Linked DNA regions of Nothobranchius furzeri. The protein of the gene in region 3 interacts with the protein of the main gene of each other region in a pairwise test. Links are inferred from orthologs where the notes say so. Each region holds a gene or a part of one and is shown on either strand. Other genes may lie near its edges.

What was found.
Region 1: the proteins of txlna (region 3) and vps52 interact in binary tests that used the Homo sapiens proteins (3 or more experiments, as listed by UniProt). The two-hybrid records come from large-scale screens. The link is inferred for Nothobranchius furzeri from reciprocal best matches to the Homo sapiens genes TXLNA and VPS52.
Region 2: the proteins of txlna (region 3) and hypk interact in binary tests that used the Homo sapiens proteins (3 or more experiments, as listed by UniProt). The two-hybrid records come from large-scale screens. The link is inferred for Nothobranchius furzeri from reciprocal best matches to the Homo sapiens genes TXLNA and HYPK.

Annotation. Positions count from the first base shown.
Region 1 is NC_091759.1:11,200,066-11,207,753, reverse strand, and holds the start of vps52 (vacuolar protein sorting-associated protein 52 homolog), read right to left. Parts: upstream 4,095-7,688; 5' UTR 4,018-4,094; coding exon 3,922-4,017; intron 3,449-3,921; coding exon 3,367-3,448; intron 3,227-3,366; coding exon 3,174-3,226; intron 3,063-3,173; coding exon 2,987-3,062; intron 2,695-2,986; coding exon 2,627-2,694; intron 2,526-2,626; coding exon 2,350-2,525; intron 2,258-2,349; coding exon 2,107-2,257; intron 1,988-2,106; coding exon 1,887-1,987; intron 1,681-1,886; coding exon 1,548-1,680; intron 1,464-1,547; coding exon 1,408-1,463; intron 1,229-1,407; coding exon 1,093-1,228; intron 278-1,092; coding exon 122-277; intron 26-121; coding exon 1-25. Other genes in the region: rps18 (small ribosomal subunit protein uS13), read left to right, coding at 4,324-4,326, 4,899-4,997, 5,099-5,185, 6,347-6,448, 6,573-6,664. UniProt on the Homo sapiens protein: Acts as a component of the GARP complex that is involved in retrograde transport from early and late endosomes to the trans-Golgi network (TGN).
Region 2 is NC_091749.1:30,006,929-30,014,616, forward strand, and holds hypk (huntingtin-interacting protein K), read right to left. Parts: upstream 4,198-7,688; 5' UTR 4,153-4,197; coding exon 3,991-4,152; intron 2,701-3,990; coding exon 2,645-2,700; intron 2,542-2,644; coding exon 2,490-2,541; intron 2,269-2,489; coding exon 2,173-2,268; 3' UTR 2,065-2,172; downstream 1-2,064. Other genes in the region: mfap1 (microfibrillar-associated protein 1), read left to right, coding at 1-93, 174-443, 533-692, 990-1,079, 1,576-1,755. UniProt on the Homo sapiens protein: Component of several N-terminal acetyltransferase complexes. Inhibits the N-terminal acetylation activity of the N-terminal acetyltransferase NAA10-NAA15 complex (also called the NatA complex).
Region 3 is NC_091751.1:3,228,406-3,236,282, reverse strand, and holds the start of txlna (alpha-taxilin), read right to left. Parts: upstream 4,133-7,877; 5' UTR 4,120-4,132; coding exon 4,020-4,119; intron 3,620-4,019; coding exon 3,440-3,619; intron 1-3,439. UniProt on the Homo sapiens protein: May be involved in intracellular vesicle traffic and potentially in calcium-dependent exocytosis in neuroendocrine cells.

The DNA.
Region 1 (7,688 bases), on a different chromosome or scaffold from region 3:
CGGACACGTAGGTGGACATGCTTTTCTGTAGAGACGGAGACACGTGGACGGGATGGGACAGAGGTTATGTTTGAGGTCACTCGCGTGCTTAAAAATGATGCTCAAAGGGAAGCGTTCCCACCAGGAACATTCCGAGCGTTTTTCCCATGATGCTGTTGAAGAGATCGAAGGCGGAGTTTCCGATCACCATGAAGAAGTCGGACAGGAAGAGGAATTCTCTGCAGCCGTTGTCCAGCAAAGCGTAATGCTGGCTACGAAACAGTGTCTCGTAGGGATACTGGAACACACACGATTACACAACTAATGATTACAATCCAGTTAGAGTTACAGATATTTAGATCAGGGAAGGAAATTTAATGTGTTAATTACGATTATTTCATTTGGAAAAAATAAATAAATAAATAAATAAAGCGTTTAAATTTTACCCTTTGAGCCCGAGCGTCCCCCAATTGGGGACCAGAAAGTATTCAAAAAAATTACTTGGGCGCAAACTGTCTTGAATGATTAAAATGTGATTAATCAAGATTAATTAGATAAAAAAAATTAATCGAGTCCCATCACTAATTTATATTTCTTTCTTCTTACTCTTTAACTCATTCGCTGCCAGCGTTTCTCACCGTTTTTACAGTTTTTTTTAAGAGTCACAAAACGTTGCGTGCTAGGATGATGTCGACGCCAAAACAACCAAAACAAAGCGGAGACTCACCTCTTACATCAGAAAGAATCCGCGTGTTTCGAGCGTTATCCATTCTTTCATAATCCGTTGTCGAATTGTGATCGGCAGAAGCTTTTATGGTTCGCGCCTCACTTTTTGTTACAGCAGCGACCCAAAACGATCTCCTAACACATGGACTTTCTGCTTCCTGATCATGTGACGTGTGACGCATGCGGACGAAGATCGGCTTTAGAGCCGAGATGTTTGTTCTCACGGTGCGGGGGCTCGATCCGATGCCCGCACAGTAAAAAAATGCAAATGACGACTTCAGTCGTCATTGGCAGTGAATGAGTTAATCACACCAGACCATCAAATCGATCTCTAACCGAGACTCTGGGCATTTTATTTAAACTTTTTTAAACGTGTGCACGTCTTACTCTGCTGTCTCCCCTCTGAGCCGTGTGCGGAACCAGGATGGGCCCCTCCAGCTCTGCAGGACTCAGTATGGCCCCCCTCTGGCCCAACGTGAAGATGGTATTCCTGCTCTTCAAAGACGGTTTGGAGAAGAAACCTGGAGCTGAGAGTCAAGGAGCCTCAAACTCTCAGATGTCGGTAGGTCACATGACCTGACTGCTCTCCTGTCTCGCTGGATGCTGTTTTTTATTCATTTACATTTTTGTTTTGTTTAACATAAACAAGTGACATCATCAGGTCATGGATGAAGAGGCAAACAGGAGCTTTAAAGGATATCTTTCTTGGCGGTGTCCTCCACCCCCATCAGGTCATCTTTATCGGCTACCTCCTCATACTGCAGCAGGACAAAGAACATCGGGTCACATAAAACACAAAATACTTTCAACTAAACGGAAAATGTGAATACTAAACCACCGACCTGAACTTTGAGAAGTCTGCTGCTGTAGGACTTAAAGTAACTGTAGTAAATCTTGCTCATGGTGTCTACATACTCATCTCTGATCTCCTTAGCAACGGTTCTCTCATTGGCCAAAAGGAACTGATAAAAAAATCTACAACAGAACAAAAACAGGCAATAATGTAATTCTGGTTGAATCTTTTTTTAATTTCACAAATTAGAAATATAAAAACGTGTTCACAGTTCCTTCCAAATTCCAAAGGTTAGGCTGGAATTAGAAACTTTTAATGGATTTAATCCACGTCAAACTGCGTCAGGAACTAAACGGTCCACAAAACGTTCCATTTACCGAAGGCTCACCTGTATTTTAGCAAAGTGTTTTGTGGGATCTGATAGTTGGTCATCGGTTTTCTAAAGGAGTAGATCTTCTGTAGAATAAACTCTCTGATCTTTGACACTGCCTAAGGAAGGAAAAGTGATTCTAGTGTCATTTAAACTCAGAACATGAACTTCTGTGACCCTTCAGTGATTATTATTATTATTATTATTGTTAATTCCAACAGCGGTTTCTGTGATTCACCTTGACTTTGAGGCGATCAACGATGTCCTGGATGTCGGAGCAGGCCAGCGTCTCCCTGAAGCTCAGCTCTTTTGCAAAGTTGATTTTGGAGTTAAGCTCGTGAAGCTGCTCAAGGAACTCCTGCTCCGTCACCGGGCTTTCCAGGATGGTGCTGGAACGATCCAAAAAGCTTCAGCAACAAGACATCAACACGTGACATTTCCTACAGCATTGTTACAAATAATCAGAAGCTGTTAAACGTACGAGATCATGGCTCCAGGCACCACCAGTTCATCCACCAGCTGGCTCAGGTGGCTGCGAACGGCCTGCCTGTTCTTCAGACGGACATTCATGCTGACAGACTGCTGCTGCAGGGTCTGGATCTCGCTGCTGATGGAGGACAGGTCGCTCTGGAAGCCGCTCAGCATCCCCTCCATACGCTGAAAGGGGGGAAAAAAACATTACTTACCCCGATTTAGGTTTTTCTGGACAGTGGAGCCAAACGTTTCTGAGGGTAAAGTATGAAGAAATCCTGCCTCACCTCTAAAATAGAGTCACAGGCTGTAATCTGGTTGTGCAGAGAAGCAATGTTCTGACTCTCCTTAATGTCTACGAGGCGAAGGTTCAGGGAAACCACATAGAATGAGTTCATTTAGGTTTCTGGCTGCAGAAAATAGCATGCAAGTATGACTGACTTCCATCAAATTATTTCTTTAAAACAACTTTTTAACCTCAGAATGTAAACAAACATTTGAGTATGACTTTGAATATGTTGGATAAAATAAAAACTGCATGTGAAGAGGGACCCTGCCACTCAGACACATACATAAAGAAAAAGCAGGAAGCTCTGTGAGGACAGATAAAATATCAAGACATGTAAATTATGAGCTGTGAAGGATACAGTCTTTGATTGATGCCTGTTCAATCTTCCGCAGCTCCACCTCCACTTGCTTGGAATACTGACGGAGGTCAACACCCTAGAAATGAACAGAAGAGGACGCATATTAGTAGTATATCATAGGAAATGTGACAGCAAATCGTTCATGGATTGGTAGTGAAGTACAATTAACTGACATGACAGGACTTACCGTTTTGAGTGCCTCCTTCACAAGATCATCTTCCAGGTTGGCCTGAATATGAACTATAAAAGAATAAAAATGAAAAAATAAAATAAAATAAAAAAGAATATTGCAGAAACCCAAGGCTAGATGGGAAGTAGCAGACATGAAAGTTCTAAAACAGATGTGTATGAGTAAAGCTTGAGTGCAACTGCGCCCTTACTGTCCACTTCATCTAAGATGAACTCATCGGTGGTGATGTCCAGCTCTCCCAGGCTCAGGTTGGTGATGTCTCCATCGGTCTTCTGCAAAAAGAAACAAACAGAATCACACATATAATAAAAATAAATTCAAATACTTGAGAGGGGACTCCAACTTCTATTTATTTTATTACATAAGATTTTTTGTTTTGCACAACAATCTGATTGAAAAAAACTGGAAACGAGAAAATATACAAGATATTCATGAACATAGCTCATAATAAAGTTGCTTTTCCTGTTTCTTATAAATATAACTTTAATTTTTATCAAAATGCGACAGTTTCATACAATTAATGGGTACTGTATTTCCTGGTTAAGACCTTACACATACAAACTTGACAAACTTTAGATTTATAGCAAATTACAGGTGAAGATTGATAAAGAAATTAATAACATTTGAGATAAGGGACATGGTTCATGACGATTCATCAAATGATTAGTTGTCAACAGACTTTAACGAGCTGAATACGTTGTTTCTTCAAATCAGACCCGCACTACTAATAATAATGAAATGTCACCTCGTCTTGTAGGTACGCCATGACATTTTGTGTTGAGTTTCCTCCTGTATTTACATCAGAACCAGCTCCAACAAAACCCAAAACAGCATCCGCCATGGCTGCGAAATTTATGCTAACGTAAGCACAACAAACGAAAGTTCCGCTTACTGAAGCTCGAAATGTTTATTCTGTTTTGAAATAAAAAAACGTGATCTCAAATTTCAGGTCGCTTGATATAAATACGTACAATAACGATATCAAACATTTTTTTAGCATCACGTATTTTAGCAATTTATGTACTTGTTTAGCAAACCCAGTTGCTTATCGGACATTTTTAAATGAAGGATCATTTTCCGGCAAAAACTGATCCAAAATCTCGCGAGAAACAAGCGCCTTCCTCTTTGCACGGAACCTACTTCCAAGATGGTCAGTATGGTATATCTTAAACCAGAGTAGATTTGAAATCCACGTTCATCCTTCGTTGTGCTTGTTTGTTCATTGTTTATAAACACGGTATAATTTATATGCAGCTTGTATGGGTTGGTTCTAGTGATATGGCTGATGTTATGTCTGTTGATTTTGACTTATTTCAACGTAACTTGCCATCAATGCTAGCAGACAGTGGGGACCGGTAGAAGCGGAGTAGCGCAAGTTGATTTTTGTTTAACATAATTATACGTATAATGGAGCAGTTAAAGCTCAAATAAGCTATGTTATTTTCCCCTATGTTCTGTAATCCTTATACGTTTTAGGGATTTTTCAAAGCTACTAGCGCTTAGCTAGCCATACTAATGAGCCTCAAAGGAGCCAAAAGCATGACAGTTGCAGTAGACTAGTTATTTTCCTTGAGCAGCTTTGTTAAACATACTGAGTTCGTTGCCTGTTTGTAAAGATGAGTGTATTAATGGTTTATTTTAGTTATTTTAGTGGAGTACTGGGTCTGTACAGAATGTTAAAACTGTTTTTGATCGTTGTTGTTTTACTTGTGCTGTTTTCAGTCTCTGGTCATCCCTGAGAAGTTCCAGCACATTCTTCGTGTTCTCAACACGAACATTGATGGTAGGAGGAAGATTGCCTTCGCCATCACTGCCATCAAGGTATGTTATGTCTCGTAATACCACTTAAATTTCTTGTTAATAGACTCAATGTTTGTGTTGCCTGATTTTTACCATTGAGACTGGATTCTGTCTGGTTTAAGGGTGTTGGCAGACGTTATGCCCATGTAGTCCTGAGGAAGGCCGACATTGACCTCAACAAAAGGGCTGGAGAGCTGACTGAGGAGGAGGTGAGAACAGAAAACCTGCACCGTTTCTGCAATTCTAAAACCGTGGTGCATTTAAAAAATTGCTTCCAGGAGAGCAAGTTTTTAGATGGTGGAGGGGAAATCGGCTGTGGTGGTGCTGTGAAGGTTTGAGAGATCAGAAGTAGTTTTCGTCACAAACAGCTGGGTAGTTTGCAGTCGTTTAAAGTAAAAGTTGTTACTGCTGCTGTTGTCGGTGCCGTTTAGGTGTCTTGACTAGAGGAGAGTTTGTGTACAACCATGTTTGTGTTCCAGCATGAAGATTGGATGTTCACAGGAAACCTCTGCTAAAGCATTGAGATAAACTGATTTCTGAAAAAAAAAATGGTCTAAATATGTACACCTTTTTGTGTATTTTATTTATTTTTTTGTTTTACTTGTGAAATCGGCTCTGAACTTGCTCAAAACCGAACCAGTGGGTTCCTGGTAGTTTAAAAAGGAGAGGGATGACTACATTGTTAATTTCAATGTTTGATTGTTAGTAAGTGAACTTTGCAGTGATTTTATCAACCAACAAATCCAAATATGCAGGATTTCTAACAACTTTTAACTTGGTATCTTTCTCTTTAAAATGTTGTTGGCTTCAGAACAAAAACTGCATGATTTTGTAACTACCTAACTAACTTAACTCATTCACTGCCAGCCGCCAGCCGTTTCCAGATCAGTAAAGCCTTTCGCTGCCAGTGTTATTCAGCGTTTTATACTGTATTTTAAGATTCGCTGAACGTTGCGCTCCATGATGTCAACTCCAAAACTGATAAAACAAAGAGAAGACTCACCTCTTGCATCGGGAAGAATCCGTGCGTTTTGAGCATAATCCGTTGTCAAATTGTGATCGGCAGAAGCTTTTCTGGTTCGCGCCTCACTTCTTTTTTTCCAGCAGCGGCCCAAAACGATCTCCTAACACACGGGTTTTCTGCTTCCTGATTACATATGACGTACGCAGATGATCGGCTTTAGAGCTGGGGTGTTTGTTCTCACGGTGTGGGGGCTCGTTCAGACGCAAAAACAAGTAAACATGCAAGTGACGACATTAGTTGTCATTGGCAGTGAATGAGTTAATTGGAAAGATAATTGTGTTGGTTAGTAGCTGAACCTGATGTTTTACCAGACAAAATAACTAAACTGACTGGTTTTAATTCCCAGGTGGAGCGGGTGGTGACCATCATGCAGAACCCTCGCCAGTACAAAATCCCAGACTGGTTCCTGAACAGGCAGAAGGACGTCAAGGATGGCAAATACAGCCAGGCAAGTGACAGCAGTCTGAGTCAGTTTGGCTCTAAATCGTTAAACCATTATTTTAAACTGTGTTAACTGTTCTTAAAAATTTTTTTCACATAAACTAACAGCAAATGTTGGATTTGTCATTCAGGTCCTTGCCAACGGTCTAGACAACAAACTGAGAGAAGACCTGGAGAGGCTGAAGAAGATCAGGGCTCACCGTGGTCTCAGACACTTCTGGGGGTAAGATCTGATGGAGTCTTTACTTTAATTTGTCCAGTGAAGAGGAGAAACGTCATCGATGCTTCCTCAGCTTTACCCGTCAGTTATCTGACTGGTGCATTTTTAGTCTGTACTTAAGCTACAGTTAAGAATGCTGAGTCAGCCAAAAGGTGTTCAACTCTTTAACTTATTCACTGCCAGCCGTTTCCTGATCAGTAAAGCCCTTCGCTGCTGGCGTTTCTCACCGTTTTTACTGTTTTTTTTAAGAGTCACAGAACGTTGCACACTAGGATGATGTCGACTCCAAAACAACCAAAACAAAGCGGAGTCTCACCTCTTACATCAGGAAGACTCCGCGTGTTTCGAGCGTTATCCGTTCTTTCATAATCCGTTGTTGAATTGTGGACAGCAGTGGCCCAAAACGATCTCCTAACACTCCTGCTTCCTGATCACGTAACGTGTGACTTACGCAGATGTAGATCAGCTTTAGAGATGAGATGTTTGTTCTCACGGTGCGGGGGCTCGTCCGACGCCCACACAGTAAAAACATGCATTGGCAGTGAATGGTTGGATTTAAAATGACGACTTTAGTCGTCAATGGCAGTGAATGAGTTAAGGAACAGCTGCTCTGAGACATGAGGGTAAACATAGGAAGCCTGTCCTGGAAGAGCTTGAACTGCTGCTGAGAAACTCTTCATTTAAGAAGCTTAAACACGTCGTTACTGGGGTAGAAACTTTTCTCTGCGTAAAACTGTAACTTTGCAGGATTTTGTGGGAAAAGTTTAACTTTGTTACAGTAATTTTGACCCAAACAAACATAATTACCAGTTTTAGAGAAAAAAAGTTTCAAATTTTTAGGCAGAAATCCTGACTTTGATGGCTGCAGCTTCCTGATCTAATTTAACCTTAGATTGAACAGAATGCCTGTTATTTCTGTCATGCTGTGAATAGTTTAGTTATGAATGTAGCTTGGTGTAACTGATTTAACCAAAAACAGTTGCATTACTTTGAAGGAAAACCTGTAAATTGGCCCAACAGGAGCAAA
Region 2 (7,688 bases), on a different chromosome or scaffold from region 3:
AGGAGAGGAGTCTGAGTCGGAGTCAGAATATGAGGAGTACACAGACAGTGAGGATGAAGCAGAGCCGAGACTTAAGCCTGTTTTTATTCGCAAGTGAGAACTAAACTAAAAATGTTTCAATAAAAATTCCAGATTCAGAACACTAGCTCAAATGTTTTTTTTTTGCACTGCAGAAAGGACAGAGTCACTGTGGCAGAGCGCGAAGCCGAGGAGCTGAAGCAGCGAGAGCTGGAGGCCGAGGCCAAGAGGCAGGCAGAGGATCGGCGGCGCTACACCCTCAAGATTGTTGAGGAGGAGGCTAAGAAGGAGTTTGAAGAGAACCGGCGCTCGCTGGCTGCACTGGAAGCTCTGGACACTGACGGGGAGAATGAAGAGGAGGAATATGAAGCCTGGAAGGTCCGAGAGCTGAAACGCATCAAGAGAGACCGAGAGGCCCGGGAAGCGTAAGTAAACTGCAGGATTCCAAAGGATTTATGGTGAAAGAGTGATGCAGTTCTCTTCAGGACGGTCATTTGTGGTGTTTTGTTGTCAGAATGGAGAGAGAGAAGGGTGAAATTGACAGATTCCACAATATGACGGAAGAGGAACGCAGGGCGGAGCTACGCAACAGCGGCAAAGTCGTCACCAACAAAGCCTCCAAAGGCAAATACAAGTTCTTGCAGAAATACTACCACAGAGGAGCCTTCTTCATGGTGAGTCCCAGCAGACACAAGAGTCCTTTTCACGGGATTGTCACCAGGATTCATAAAAAAGCAAATTTTTAAGACAACCAAGAGATTTTCCTAAAATCTTCATTTACAGCTGCAGTGTCTTTTCTTTGACAATTATTGTGTGATAAAAACGGCGTACCCTTTCTTATAACACCTTTATTATTTAGATGTCTGTAAATGACAGGAAATCCCACCAGATTCTGAAGGAGGTGATCGTTTGTGATGGGTCACCAACAGGTTATACGTGTAGGGATTTATTGTGTGGTTTTTGTGTGTTAGGATGAGGAGGAGGATGTTTACAAGAGAGACTTCAGCGCTCCTACACTGGAGGATCACTTCAACAAAACCATCCTACCCAAAGTCATGCAGGTGAGACCCTTTCGTCTTGGGGTGCAACGAAATGAAACTTTGGGCTGATGTCGATATTGTTATGGCTGATAATCGATATTTGTCGATGCGACATATACAGGCTGACATTTATGCTTCTGAAGTCAGCAGATTTTATGGAGACTTAAAGTTATGTAAGCAGAAATTTTGGACGTCTTTCTTTTTATATATATTCAGTTAATATCGGTCCAGTTGTCCTTATCAGACCGATACCGATATGTAAAACATAGATATTGATGCCGATATGTCATGCATCCCTGCTGTTTTTTTGGACCACAGGTGGGGTTTGAAAGTTCATCTTTGGAAAAAAGATTGAATTTCTCATGACCTTTGAACTAGCTTGTCATCTAAATGTGCTTCAGTCCCGCTGTACATGTAGCCTTTGTGTGTGTCACTGGTGTGAACGTGGTAGAAATGACACTTTTTGTGCACATTAAGGTGACATCCCCACAATTGTAACTTATTTTCTTCCCATTAGGTCAAAAACTTTGGTCGGTCAGGACGCACAAAGTACACCCACCTGGTGGACCAGGACACCACGTCATTCGACTCTGCGTGGGCCCAGGAGAGCACTCAGAACAGCAAGTTCTTTAAGCAGAAGGCAGCAGGCGTGAGGGACGTGTTTGACCGACCCACGGTGAAGAAGAGGAAGGCATAAGACGCCTCTTTCCAGTGAAGAGACTGAGGATGCTACTTGTGTTCTTGTGGACTTTGTTGGGGAAAAAGCAACAAAATGATTCTGCTTTGATGTTTTAACCAAAAGGATCCAAACCTGTTTAGAAATTTAAGGTTGCAGCTGAAACATTTCCTGGACAAAAGTAGACAGCCAGCTGAAACCTGCAGCTTGTGTGGAACTCTGTAAATAACCTTATTGTGATGATCAGTTTGTGGGTTCCTCGCCCATTTTGTATGAAACCGTGATGTTTCAATTAAAGATGTTTTCAGTTATTTTACACACGGACACAAATAAACAACGAACCTTTATTTAAAACTAAAATACAAAAACGATGGAGTTGATTGAAACAACAGTTAAAACTGCTCATTGAGGAAAACAGTCCGGTGTGTTAATGTGTGTTCAGTTGGTCAGAGCCACCAGAGCCTCCACCACGTTCCCCATGTGTTCCCTCAGGCTGCGCTCTGCCACGGTGCGCGAGATTTCCATTTCACACATCTGCACAGAGATCAGAACAAATTAAAGGTTTGAACCAGCTTAAATCAGAAGTCACCTAAAATATCAAACTCGTAAGCCTTTAAAAAACACATGGAACATACCCATGGAACAAGCTTAAATACTCTGAAGCACTAACCATTACATTCATCTTGTTTCAGTATCATGTGTGGATCGATGTTTAATATTATTCTGTACAACATTTAAAAACAGCAAAAACTTACAATCAGCTCCACATCTTCTTTCTTAATGGTGACCTTCGCCAGCTCCTTCTCTCTGGAAAAGCAGCAAAATAACATGTTCTCAGTCTCATTTACCGTTTAGTTTGGAAAATACTTTTCTAAACCTAACAGAGTCAGAGGTCTTGAACTCATCTTACCTCTCCTGTTTGGCTTTCTGTTCTCGTGACCTTCGGTCTCCGATCACAGACATGGCCTGCAAAAATGTGTAAAACATTGTCATAAGTTTTGTAATTACCTTTTGAGAAACATACAAAACCTCATTTTAGTTCCATTTCCTGTATTTGTTTAAAACAGCACTGATGGTACAAACATTTGCTGCCTACATAAATAAATATCATTTTGTTTCCAAGACTTTATTAAATCAGGAAAAAAAAAAAGGTACACACAATGTACATTTCAAAATATCATTAGCCCTTCATCTTCATGCCAACAGTGTTTCCTTCCACACAGGCTGCTGTGAGTTAAGGGTAAATAAATCCACTTGGGTTTCATCTGTCTAAAGAACATTGTTCCAGAACGCCGTTTGTTCAGATGAAACTTCACTAAGCTAAGCTGTGATGCATTATTTTTATAGAGGTTTTCTCCTGAACTAGGCCACAGGACAAGCTGAAGATCAGTTGGGGAAAGAGAAGTCTGGCCTTCCCTCTGGGACCTGTTACCTTTACAACCTTATCTTTGATGGTTTTCTGTAGAATGATGGATAGTTGATCATCATGTCATGTCATGATGACTAGCAGCATTTACTTCTGCTGGGGCATCATTTTAGTGCTTTTTCTTCCTAGACCGTGTGTTAACACACATCTGACCTGTATGCTCCAATGCAAACACTTTCCACTTGTGATCAGTCAATAGTGTCAGCTCTCAGCTAAACTACAGTTTTAACAATTCAAAATATTTTTTTCCAATGAGTTATTCTGAACCTTATATGTCAGCATTGCCTAAAATATTGTCAAATAGTTGCCTTAAACATGTTTGACTTGATGTTTTGAACAGTTTGAGTTATAGTTTCATGCTTGGGCACATACTGGATGAAATTTGAATTAATTTTACCCCTCTTCCACTCAGATGAGTGTTTAGCTAACTCTCAAGATAGCTACCTAAATCAATTAGTATCAATCTGTTCTACCAAGTTTATTTATTTGGTTATTTTAAAGTTAGGAAACGGAAAAACACAATAATACAAAGATTGCAAGTAGAATAACCAAAAGCTGAAGATGAAGCTTCGCCTGCTGTCTCTAGCTTTTTATGCCTACCCCATATACACAAACTTCTACTTCAAATTATCATAGAAATAAATATAAAATAATGAAATAAAATGTTTTTTCTGTGTTCAATCAGAACACAGAGAAAACATAAAATGACAAAAATGTTCATTTATACAGGAAACAAACCGTTATTTGTAATTATTTAGGTCTTTAACTCTTGACAGTGAACGCATCAGCGGCCGCATGTTTCCGGGGGAGCCGTTAGCCACAGGTCTCACCGTTTCTAAATCAGAGCTGGAGATTTCCTTCTCCTCCGCGTAGTCCGTGACTCTCTCCAAATCCGCAGCTCCGCTGTCATGTTTCCGAGGCTTTTCAACCGGCTTTCCAGTGCAGTTTTCCTCGGCTTCGAGGTCCAAGTCGACGTCTCCCTCCGCTGCCATGTTAGCTTCACTGAGGTCGGAACAAAGAATAATTAAAGTAGTTGTCGGAAGGATTACGAAGCCGTACCGGAAGTAGAATTTAAAGGGCCATAACAAATCTTTATAATAAATAGATAATAAAAATGACTTCAAAGTGCGTATGCTAAGTAAATTCATGACAAAAATGTGCATGCATTTCTGTTAATGTAACATTATAATAATAGTAAACGATCATATAAAACGTAAAACACTTTTGTTCAGGGCAAAAGAGTTTACGCAGTCGTTTTAAAACTTGCTAATATGTTGGAGCCGTGAGCAACAGTTTCCGGATGATCTCCACAGAAGCTGCAGTTAACATAAATATTTATTTGAAGATTTAAAATAAAAAAATATATATTTTACAATTATTTTGAAATTTCATTATATATTGCTTTACAGGGTTTATATTGGCTACATTTTAATACATACTGCATACTGACCGCAGTTAAAGTAGCTCATGGTAACAATGAACATTTCTAATAGTTACATTGTTTTGTGGAAGAAAAAATATGTATTATGATGTCATTATTTACACATGTAAAATACAACAAAACGTTTCTTCAATATAATAATAATAATAATACATTTTCTTTGAAGTGCTTTTCAAAAAACTCAAGGTCATTGTACAATAAAAAGAATAAAACATTCCAACAAGCACAAGGACAATAAAAACTAGTCAATTTAAAACCATGATAAAACAGATAAAATACAGATAGGGGAATATGCAATCTTGAACAGGTGAGTTTTGAGTTTGGCCTTGAAGTGTAGCGGTATTTCTGAAATCAGCTGGTAATGTATTCCATAGGGAGGGAGCAGATCTGCTGAATGTGCGACTTCCCATGATAACAAGGTGTATATATATATTTGTAGAGAACTCTAAAGCTCTCTACACCAGGGGTGTCAAACTCATTTTAGCTCAGGGGCCACATTGAGGGAAATCTAGTCCCAAGTGGGCCGGACCGGTAAATAAAAAAAAAACTTCAGATTGTTTTCTTTGTTTTAATACAATCAATATAAAACAAGGCTGGAGCCTGAGGACAGTGTAGTACAAGTACAACACCTGAAGTGTACTTGAAAATTTGAAAAAATTAAAAAAATCAACAAATAAAAATACATTCCTTAGTGATTCAAAGAGCTTACAGATCACATGGCTAGATCAGTTTCATGCAGCACTTAAAGTATATTTGACTCATTTTACTTAACATCGTTTAGCTTTCACCAGAACATCAATATCAGAAGTCCCATCCTGAGTGGCGGCCAACTTCAGGATGTGATTCAAGTTCTTGTGTGAGCCTTGAGCGCAGCTTTGTTTTATTTATACTCATTACAGAGGAAACTTGCTCACAAAGATAAGTTTATTTTCACTCTACATTGTAAAGTATGAAAATAAAGTTTACACAACCATCTCGCGGGCCAGATTTAACCCGCTTGCGGGCCGGATGCGGCCCGTGGGCCGCATATTTGACACCCCTGCTCTAAACAATACAATTATTTAACATGACACACATTTAAGAAAATAAAAGCTTTAACTATTATCGTGCAAGATTACAATTCCTACTGTTTAAACCATAAAAAACTCAAATTGAACTAATGAAAAAAAATACAATACATAGATTTGATAACATTTGTGCACACCTGGTGTTTAATTTAGGACACACACACACACACACACACACACACACACACACACACACACACACACACACACACACACACGCACACACACACACACACACACACACACACACACACACACACACACACACACACAGCTGCCCTGGGGATCACTGATGAAGCAAAGGGTGCCAAGCACAGGCTCCACCTGTCCCTCTGACCAACGCCAGCAGGCAAGAAAGGTGAAATGTCTTGCCCAAGGACACGATGGTAGCGACATACTGAGTGGGCTTTGAACCTGCAGCCCACTGGGTGGGTTCTTAACCCTTCTGCCACCATCGCCCCAATAAAAGTCCTAAATGAGCCAACTCACATCACACAGAGTTATGTACTCTGTCATCTCTGACAAACCTAATGCTTTTTAAAATGCCCCCTCAGTACCGACTTCATGCCTCCTTAAAATTAACAAACAAATAAATCAATAAAATCAAATTCCCCGCCTAGAGTTCTGCTAAAGTTGGCAGCCCCACATACACAATTAAAGAGCATTTTGTCTTCATAAACATGACCCACTTAACAAATAGATTTAATTACTAGATACACGTAGACGGGATTTCAGATGGTTGATTCTACCTTGAGGTAATTGTTACACGTACAATACTATAACCTATACTTGTTATTGCTGACCTCAGCTAACTCGGTACAATTTGAACAATGAAAACCAAACATTCATTGTGTTATTTCTAATAAATAATGAGGAAAAAGACAATAACTGGATTAAGTGACCCTCTTACTGTCTGGATTACTAAATCACTCTGTGTTCTACCTTGTTCTATTCCTGTCTGTTTTAAGAGGTTTATTTGTCCTTCAATTACACATATCCTGTCTCCAAACGTTTTCAGGCTTTTCGTGCACTTGAGCTTTAACAATCCACCCACTGTAACAAGATTAAGAGAAAGGGAAACCCGTTCAAGCTGTCTGTCCAGAGCAGGGCTGGAAACTGCGTCAGTCACTTTAGTTTGGAGATGTGTGGGGCTGTGAGAGGCCTGGAAAATGGCATCCGGTCCGGAGAGGAGTCACTGTCGTCATAGAAACCGCTTTATTCTGCTCTATGACTGATGGATGTTTGACTGTTTGGACCCTGCAGCATTCAAGGCCTCAACAATATGACAGGACACTGGTTTCAACCCCAGGTGAGGCAGACACTGCTCTGAACTTTATCCTGATAGAGAAGCTCCAGTAGTTTTAGTATTTACGTCCCCACCCAGCTCACTTTTAGAGCTAAATATAAAATGAAGCAACCTTCTTTTCAAATGCTTCACATACATGGAAGGTGACAAAAAATAATCATTGAATCAAAAATAGCTGAAATATTTTGGATTTTTGTAAGTAGATGATGTGTTTTACCTGTCTCTAAGCCTTGGGGCCTCTTTTCCTAACTTGTAATAGGCGTATCTTCAGACATGCCCAGGTGATAAACATCTCAGAACATTTCTTTACAAAGTTTTGTAAAACAAGCTGGCAGAAGATGGATTTTGCATTCAACAGGACTACAGATAGAGACAGGTGACAGGTAAGTGATAGTAGAATCACATTCAGATCATCTATAAAGGAACGCTTGGTCTGGGTTGACTGCATCTTTTGACTGAAGGTAGTTGAAGGAGCTCCAGCTTGTTTGACTATTTTAGATGGTTTAGTAGAACGTAGACAAGGCCTGGTCTGCTGTGATCAAATGCAGGACACATCTAAACAGCCACTGATTCTATCATTCAGGCAGTGGATATCGGTAAAGTCGGTACCTAATTTGATGGATGTGGCCGCTCTCAGCACTAGTGACTGTATAATCTTAGAATGAATTCCTGGTATAAACCAGCTTTGGAGGTTCTTGGAGGTTCTCGCTGTTT
Region 3 (7,877 bases):
ATTATGGCTTATGAGGTGGACTTCAGTCCTCCGCTGCTGTTTATTCTCTGCTGTCGCCCACCGAACTACAATTCCAACTTTCTATCGGAATTTTCTGATCTTTTAACAGACTTTCTTCCAAAATATGACCGTGGGATTATGCTTGGTGATTTTAATATACATGTTTGCTGCCCTGACAAACCTCTTGTTGGTGGCTTTTTAGACATTTTAGATTGTTTTGGTCTCCAGCAACAGGTCCAGTCACCCACCCATTCAGGATCGCACGTTTTAGACTTGGTTTTGTCATTTGGGATCTGTATCTCGGATCTGACTTTTGACTCTGCATGTATCTCTGATCATTCTATTATTATTTTTAATATCTGTGGCTTGACACCTCCATCCACTAGGCAACATAATCAACACCTCACAAGAATAATTTCCCCTTTTCACCACCAATCTACTAGCATCTAGCCTAGCTGTGACTCTATGCACTTCCCAACCTGATTCCACCTGTGTAGGAGCTGCTGACCTCTTTCAACTCTACCTGCTCAACTGTTTTAAATGCAGTCGCTCCTCTAAGATCCAGGCATAAAAAACTGTGGCAGACCCTTGGCTCAATGAGGAGACTCGTGCCCTAAGACGCCAATGTAGGGTCTGCGAACGCCGGTGGCGGAAGGACAAGCTGCAAATCTCCTACCAGTCATTCAAGGATCCTTTGACCCGCTATCAGAAAGCTGTCCGCACAGCTAGAAACAGATATTTTGCAAATATAATCACTAGGCATAAAAACGACCAGAAGAAACTGTACAGTGTCCTCACCTCTGTACTATCGCTTAGAGAATCTCCCAACTCTTGTCCCTCTACAGGGGCTCTTTGCAATGAGTTTCAAAACTTTTTCCTGCATAAAATCCAGGAAATTAGAACAGCTTCTCTTACTCAGGCTGGGTTACCTGTGTGGAACCTCACTGTCCGCCCTCATTCTCTTGCTTTGCTCATGTGACACCCTCTTCCCTGGTTGATCTAATCTTGGCTATGAAGCCCTCAGGCTCTCCAGAGGACAGCCTTCCTCCAAGACTGCTGCGCGATGTCCTTCCAGCGGTGGCCCCTGCTGTTGTGTCAATTCCAGCTTCTCCTCTGGTGTGTTTCCAGCTGCTTTTAAAAATGCCGTTGTTCAGCCGCTACTGAAGAAACCAGGCCTTGACCAGTCTGACTGTGCCAGTTATCGCCCAATCTCAAAACTTCCATTCATCTCAAAAGTAGTTGAGAAACTGGCTCTCACGCAGCTTACTTCTCACCTAGATGACAGTGGGCTTCTTGACCCATTCCAGTCAGGTTTTAGACGTAATTACAGCACAGAGTCTGCACACATTCAGGTACTCAATGACATCCTGATTCTGACTGACTCTGGCTCCCATGTGCGGTTACTCTTACTCGACCTGACCGCAGCATCCTACTTCACAGACTCCAATTTTGGGTGGGTGTGACCGGTACTGCCCTGGAATGGTTTAAGTCGTACCTTAATGGTCGGTGTTTTAGTGTTCATGTTAGAGACTGCTCTTCTCCCAATGTCCCACTTCCATGGGGAGTACCACAGGGCTCCATCCTGGGTCCTCTCCTCTTTTCAATTTACATACTAGCACTTGGTAAGATTTTAGCAAGTCTCGTCGGGGTTAACTACCACTTTTATGCAGATGATTGCCAGATCTACCTTCAAATCAACCAACAGCACTCATTTTCTATAATGTCAGAATGCCTCTCCCAGGTCAGATCCTGGCTTTCTCAAAACTGCCTACGGTTAAATGACAGCAAATCAGATGCCATACTTTTTAGCCCCACTAACATGAATGGTGCTTTAGATGTCTCAACTCTCCCACTCAATCTCAAATCAGGTGCCACTAGCCTAGGTGTGACACTGGACTCTGACCTTTCAATGTCTTCACAAGTCAACGCTACTGTCAAGTCCTGCTTTTTCCAACTCCGCCGCATCACTCGTCTTAAGTCAATCCTCAAACGCCCGCATCTTGAGTCAGTCATTCATGCTTTCATTACTTCACGTCTGGATTACGCAAATTCTGTCCTGATTGGGATTAATGCTTCAGCCTTAAGCAAACTGCAGAAGGTTCAAAATGCCGCGGCCAGATTTTTAACCAACACCGACAGACGCATGCACATCACACCCATCCTCGCAGATTTACACTGGCTCCCAGTCTAATTTAGGATTAACTTCAAGGTCCTGTTATATGTTTACAAGGCTTTGTACTGCCCATCCCCATCCTATCTGATGGACCTGCTGACCCCATATGTTCCCACCCGTGCCCTTCGGTCAGCAGATCATCTGCTGCTTGTTGTTCCGAAGGTTTGGTACAAATCACGGGGGGAGCGTGCCTTCTCTTATTCAGCCCAAAACTCTGGAACTCCCTGCCCCTCCGTGTGCGTCTGGCTCCCTCTGTTAGCAGTTTCAAGTCGGCCCTGAAAACGCACTTCTTTAGCATTGCCTTGCCTCCGTGACACTTTTCATGACAATCTAGCACCGGATTTGAGTTTTTAATTCCATTTTTATGATTTAGTTGCTCACTTTTGGCACCTCGCACCATCTGGTATTTTATTTCGGTTTATTTGGGACATTTCAAATGTTTTTATTATTCGTCGCATTATTTTATTTTTATAGTGCTGTTAACTGTTCTATTTTATGGTTTTTAGTAGGAATTTTTATCTCCGACTATTTATGCTTTGTTCTTATGTTTTTTGCCTGTTCTTATTGTGGTTCTTGGTCAAGCATTTGGCTTTTTTTATGTACAGCACTTTGGTTAGCTGCCATGCTATTTTGAAATGGTGCTTTATAAATAAATAAATATGGTATGGTATGGTATGTGTCCCACACAGTCACGCGGAAAACTGTTGGGATTCATTTGTTTATGATGTGCCTTCTAAAAGGAATCGCACTTGAGGCATTAAAACAATTATCACAATATCATCAAGGACGTGATGGCCTACTTTTATTTAAATGTTGAAGTAAGTTTGTTCTTGACACAACGTTACAGTAATGAGAAAATACCCCAAAACTAATTTATTATGGATCTCTTAACCTTAAAAACTCTTGTTTATTAAACTGTGTGATTGTGTTTAATGACATCAGTGCATAAAATAACTTGTCGGCAGCATCAGGACATATAACAATAAAAATGACATAATCTAGATATGTATGGATTGAGTACACGTGAAGAATGAAGACCATTTTATTGTACAAGTAAAGCTTTGATTGCATCAATAAAAGTTTGACTTCTAGTATGTTAATCTTGAAACCAGATGACATCAGGTATTACTGACAAGATTCTCCACTTCAGTCTGATGACAACCAAACCATTAATTAGGTTTGTGCTGTTTCATCTAATTTGTTCTAAAACTGAGAATTCACACAGTGTGACGGACGAGTAAGAAAGTCAAACCAAAGGCAGTTCACCTCCGCTTTCCCCCTGCTGTTCCTGTGGTGGAGGGCCAGCCTGTGGCTCCATCTCTCTGGGGCTGCTGCCTTCAGCAGGTGCAGGTGGAAGTGGAGCGTCCGTGTCTCCAGCTGCAGGTGGAGGAGCCTCGCTGCCCGGGCTGGTAGACTCTTCCGTGTCTTGATTTTTCATGTTTAGCTCTTTGAATAAAAGACGAAACTAACGCTGAGTCTAAATAAGGCTTTGACAATAAAATACACCAACTGTTCAGACGATAAAGTTCTTTAAAATCACGCATAAAATCGAAAATATTAGCACGTTTCTGGATACATAGACATGGCGTTTATGTACAAAACGGAAAACAAATGTGTACTTTCACTTCGGACCATTTTCAGTTTCCATTAGCTTCCAGATTACATTAGCTGGCACAGGCTAGCCCTCGTTAGCAGTTACGCACGCAGCTAAAATTGTCTTGAACTACTTTCACCCAACCGGTGTTACTTTGTACCATAAAAGAAAAAACAGAAAACTACTAAAGCTATGGCGACGCGAAACGTTACCTCATTCCCCTGACTCTACGGTTAACACAGACTTGTTTACCTGAAGACTCCAGGAGGAAACGGCTAATTTTTCTGAGCTGCAGGTTTCTTGAACAGCGTGTAGCTGACTGGCTTAGAAAAAAAAAACAACTTCCGGTCATAACTTTGATTCTTCTTCTTTGACTTTTCAATGGTGGTTTCAAATGGTGATATGGTGCATTACCGCCACCAACTTCTTTCTGCTATGTAAAAAAAAATACTAGCAAGAAAGTGATAAAACTGGTAAAAACCAATTAAACATTTATTGTCATTGCAGAACAGCTGTCTTGTAAATTAGTAAGACTATGGTTTACATGTGGCCTATGCTAATATAAAATTTAAGGTTTAATAATAGTAAACAGCAAGTTCACCTACTAACAAAAATGCATTTTATTTAGAAAAAATTACAGCAAGTGTTTGTACTAACTACTGAAATTTTATAAATGTAGTTCCCTCTTCCTCCCTGGGCTGCCACCTTACCGTGGTGGAGGGGTTTGAGTGTCCCAATGATCCTAGGAGCTAAATGAGGCTTTATGCCTCTGGTAGGGTTACCCATGGCAAACAGGTCCTAGGTGAGGGATCGGACAAAGAGCAGCCCAAAGACCTCTTATGATGAATAAAATAAATGGAAACCGTGTTCCCTCGCCCGGACGTGGGTCACTGGGGCCCCCCTCTGGAGCCAAGCCTAGAGGTGGGCCACGTAGGCGAGCGCCTGCTGGCCGGGTTTTCACCCATGGAGCCCGGCCGGGCACAGCCCGATGAGGAAACGTGGGTTCCCCTTCCCATGGGCTCACCACTCGTGGGAGGGGCCAAAGGGGTCAGGTGCAGTGTGTGACGGGTGGCAGACGAGGGCTGGGACCTTGGCGGTCTGATCCCCGGCTACAGAAGCTGGCTCTTGGCACAAGGAATGTCACCTCTGGTGGGGAAGGAGCCTGAGTTGGTGTGTGAGGTTGAGAGATTCCGACTAGCTATAGTCTGACTCACCTCAACGTATGGCTCTGGCTCTGGAACCAGTTTCCTTGAGAGGGGCTGGGCACTCTACCACTCTGGAGTTGCTCCCACTGAGAGGCGCCGAGCAGGGGTGGGCATACTAGTTGCCCCCATCTTGGTGCCTGTACGTTGGGGTTTACCCCGGTGACTGAGAGGGTAGCCTCCCTCCGCCTACGTGTGGGGGGACGGGTTCTGACTGTGGTCTGTGCTTATGCACCAAACTACAGTTTAGACTACCCACCCTTTTTGGAGACCTTGGAGGGGGTGCTGGAGAGTGCTCCTTCCGGTGACTCCCTCGTTCTGCTGGGGGACTTTAACGCTCATGTGGGCAACGACAGTGAGACCTGGAGAGGTGTGGTTGGGAGGAACAGCCCCCCTGATCTGAATTCGAGTGGTGTTTTGTTATTAGACTTCTGTGGATTGTCCATAATGAACACCATGTTCAGACATAAAGGTGTCCATATGTGCTCTTGGCACAGGATACCTTAGGCCGCAGCTCGATGATCGACTTTGTTGTTGTTTCATCTGACTCGGGTGAAGAGAGGGGCCGAGCTGTCTACTGACCACTACCTGGTGGTGAGTTGGCTCAGATGGTGGGGGAGGATGCCGGTAAGACTAGGCAGGCCAAAACGTATTGCAAGGGTCTGCTGGGAACGCCTGTCAGAAGGAGCTTCAATTCCCACCTCCTAACTTCCAAAATGTTCCGGGGGAGGCGGGGGACCTTGAGTCTGAATGGACCCTGTTCCGTGCTTCCATTGTTAAGGCGGCCAACTAGAGCTGTGGTCGCAGGATCGTCGGTGCCTGTCGTAGTGGCAACCCCCGAACCCGCTGGTGGACACCAGGCACCAAGGCAAAAACCCGGGTGTGGGAGGAGTTCGGTGAGACCATGGAGCAAGACTTCCGTACAGCTTCGAGGAGATTCTGGTACACCATCCGGCGCCTCAGGGGTTGAAAACAGCGCACTACCAACACTATTTATAGTGGGGACGGTGTGCTGCTGACCTCTACTCAGGACGTTGTGGATCAGTGGGCAGAATACTTCGAAGACCTCCTCAATCCCACCGACACGTCTTCCAGCGAGGAAGCAGAGTCTGGGGACTTTGAGTTGGGCTCTCAAATCTCTGGTGCTGAGGTCACTGAGGTGGTTAAAAGGCTCCTCTGTGGCAAGGCCCCAGGGGTGGATGAGATCCGCTCCGAGTTCCTTAAGGCTCTGGATGTTGTGGGGCTATGTTGGCTGATATCGTGTGGACATCGGGGGCAGTTCCACTGGACTGGCAGACTGGGGTGGTGGTTCCCTTATTTAAAAATGGGGACCGCAGGGTGTGTTCCAACTACAGGAGGATCACACTCCTGAGCCTTCCTGCTAAGGTCTATTCAGGGGTTCTGGAGAGGAGGGTCCGTCGGATTGTTGATCCTCAGATTCAGGAGGAGCAATGTGGTTTTCGTTCTGGCCGTGGAACACTGGACCAGCTCTATACCCTTAGGGGGGTCCTGGAGGATGCGTGGGAATTTGCCCAACCAGTCTACATGTGTTTTGTGGATTTGGAGAAGGCGTTTGACTGCGTCCCTCGGGAGGCCCTGTGGGGGTCCTTCGGGAGTATGGGGTACCAGGCCCTCTAATACAGGCTGTTAGGTCCCTGTATGACCGGTGTCAGAGCTTGGTCCGCATTACCGGCAGTAAGTCGGGCTCGTTCCCAGTGAGAGTTGGACTCCGCCAAGGCTGCCCTTTGTCACCCATTCCGTTCATAACCTTTATGGACATGATTTCTAGGCGCAGCCAAGGTGTTGAGGGCATCCGTTTTGGTGGCCTGAGGATCAAGTTTCTGCTTTCTGCAGATGATGTGGTCCTGTTGGCTTTATCAGAACGTGATCTTCAGCTTTCGCTGGAGCGGTTTGCAGCCAAGTGTGAAGCAGCTGGGATGAGAATCAGCTCCTCTAAATCTGAGACAATGGTCTTGATTCGGAAAAGGGTAGAATGCCTTCTTCGGGCCAGGGATGAGGTCCTGCCCCAAGTGGAGGAGTTTAAGTATCTTGGGGTCTTGTTCACGAGTGAGGGAGAACTGGAGTGTGAGATCGACAGGCGGATTGGTGTGCATCTGCAGTGATGCGGGCGTTGTACCAGTCTGTCCAACACATTCTCACACCCAAGGCGTCAAAATATGCCTCTTCCCCTCAATATTAATATTCCCATCCATCATCACCTGTTTATCCAGGGCCAGGTTGCTTGGGCAGCAGCCTATGCGGAGAGGCCCAGACTTCCCTCTTCCCAGTTACTTGGGCCAGCTCCTCCAGGCGAATCCCAAGGCATTCCCTGGCCAGACGAGAAACACCTTGAAACGTCCCTCCAGTGTGTCCTGGGTTTTCCTTTGGGTCTCCTACCAGTTGGACGCACGCGGAAAACCTCACCAGGGAGGCATCCTAAAGATGCCCGAGCCACCTCATCTGGCTCTTTTTGAAGTGGAGCAGCAGGTTCATTCCAAGCCGCTCCCGGATGACCGAGCTTCTCACCCGATCTTTAAGGGAAAGCCCAGACACCCTGTGGGGAAAAAAAACCCCTTATTTTGACCACTTGTGTCCGCCATCTCATTCTTTCGGTTGCTACCCAAAGCTTGTAATCATAGGTGAGGGTAGGAAGGTAGATCGACCTGACAAATCGAGAGCTTCAGGACCTAATCCTTGACCAGAAGACGTTCTACCCTTTTACGACGCAAGCCTGTATTAGAGGGCCTGGTACCCCATACTCCCAGAATGTCCCCCACAGATCCGACCAAGGGACGGTCAAACAACTTCTTCAAATCAACGAAACACGTAGATTGGTTGGGCAAACTCCCATGCCCCCTAAGGGTATAGAACTGGTCCAGTGTTTGACAACCAGAATAAAAACCACATG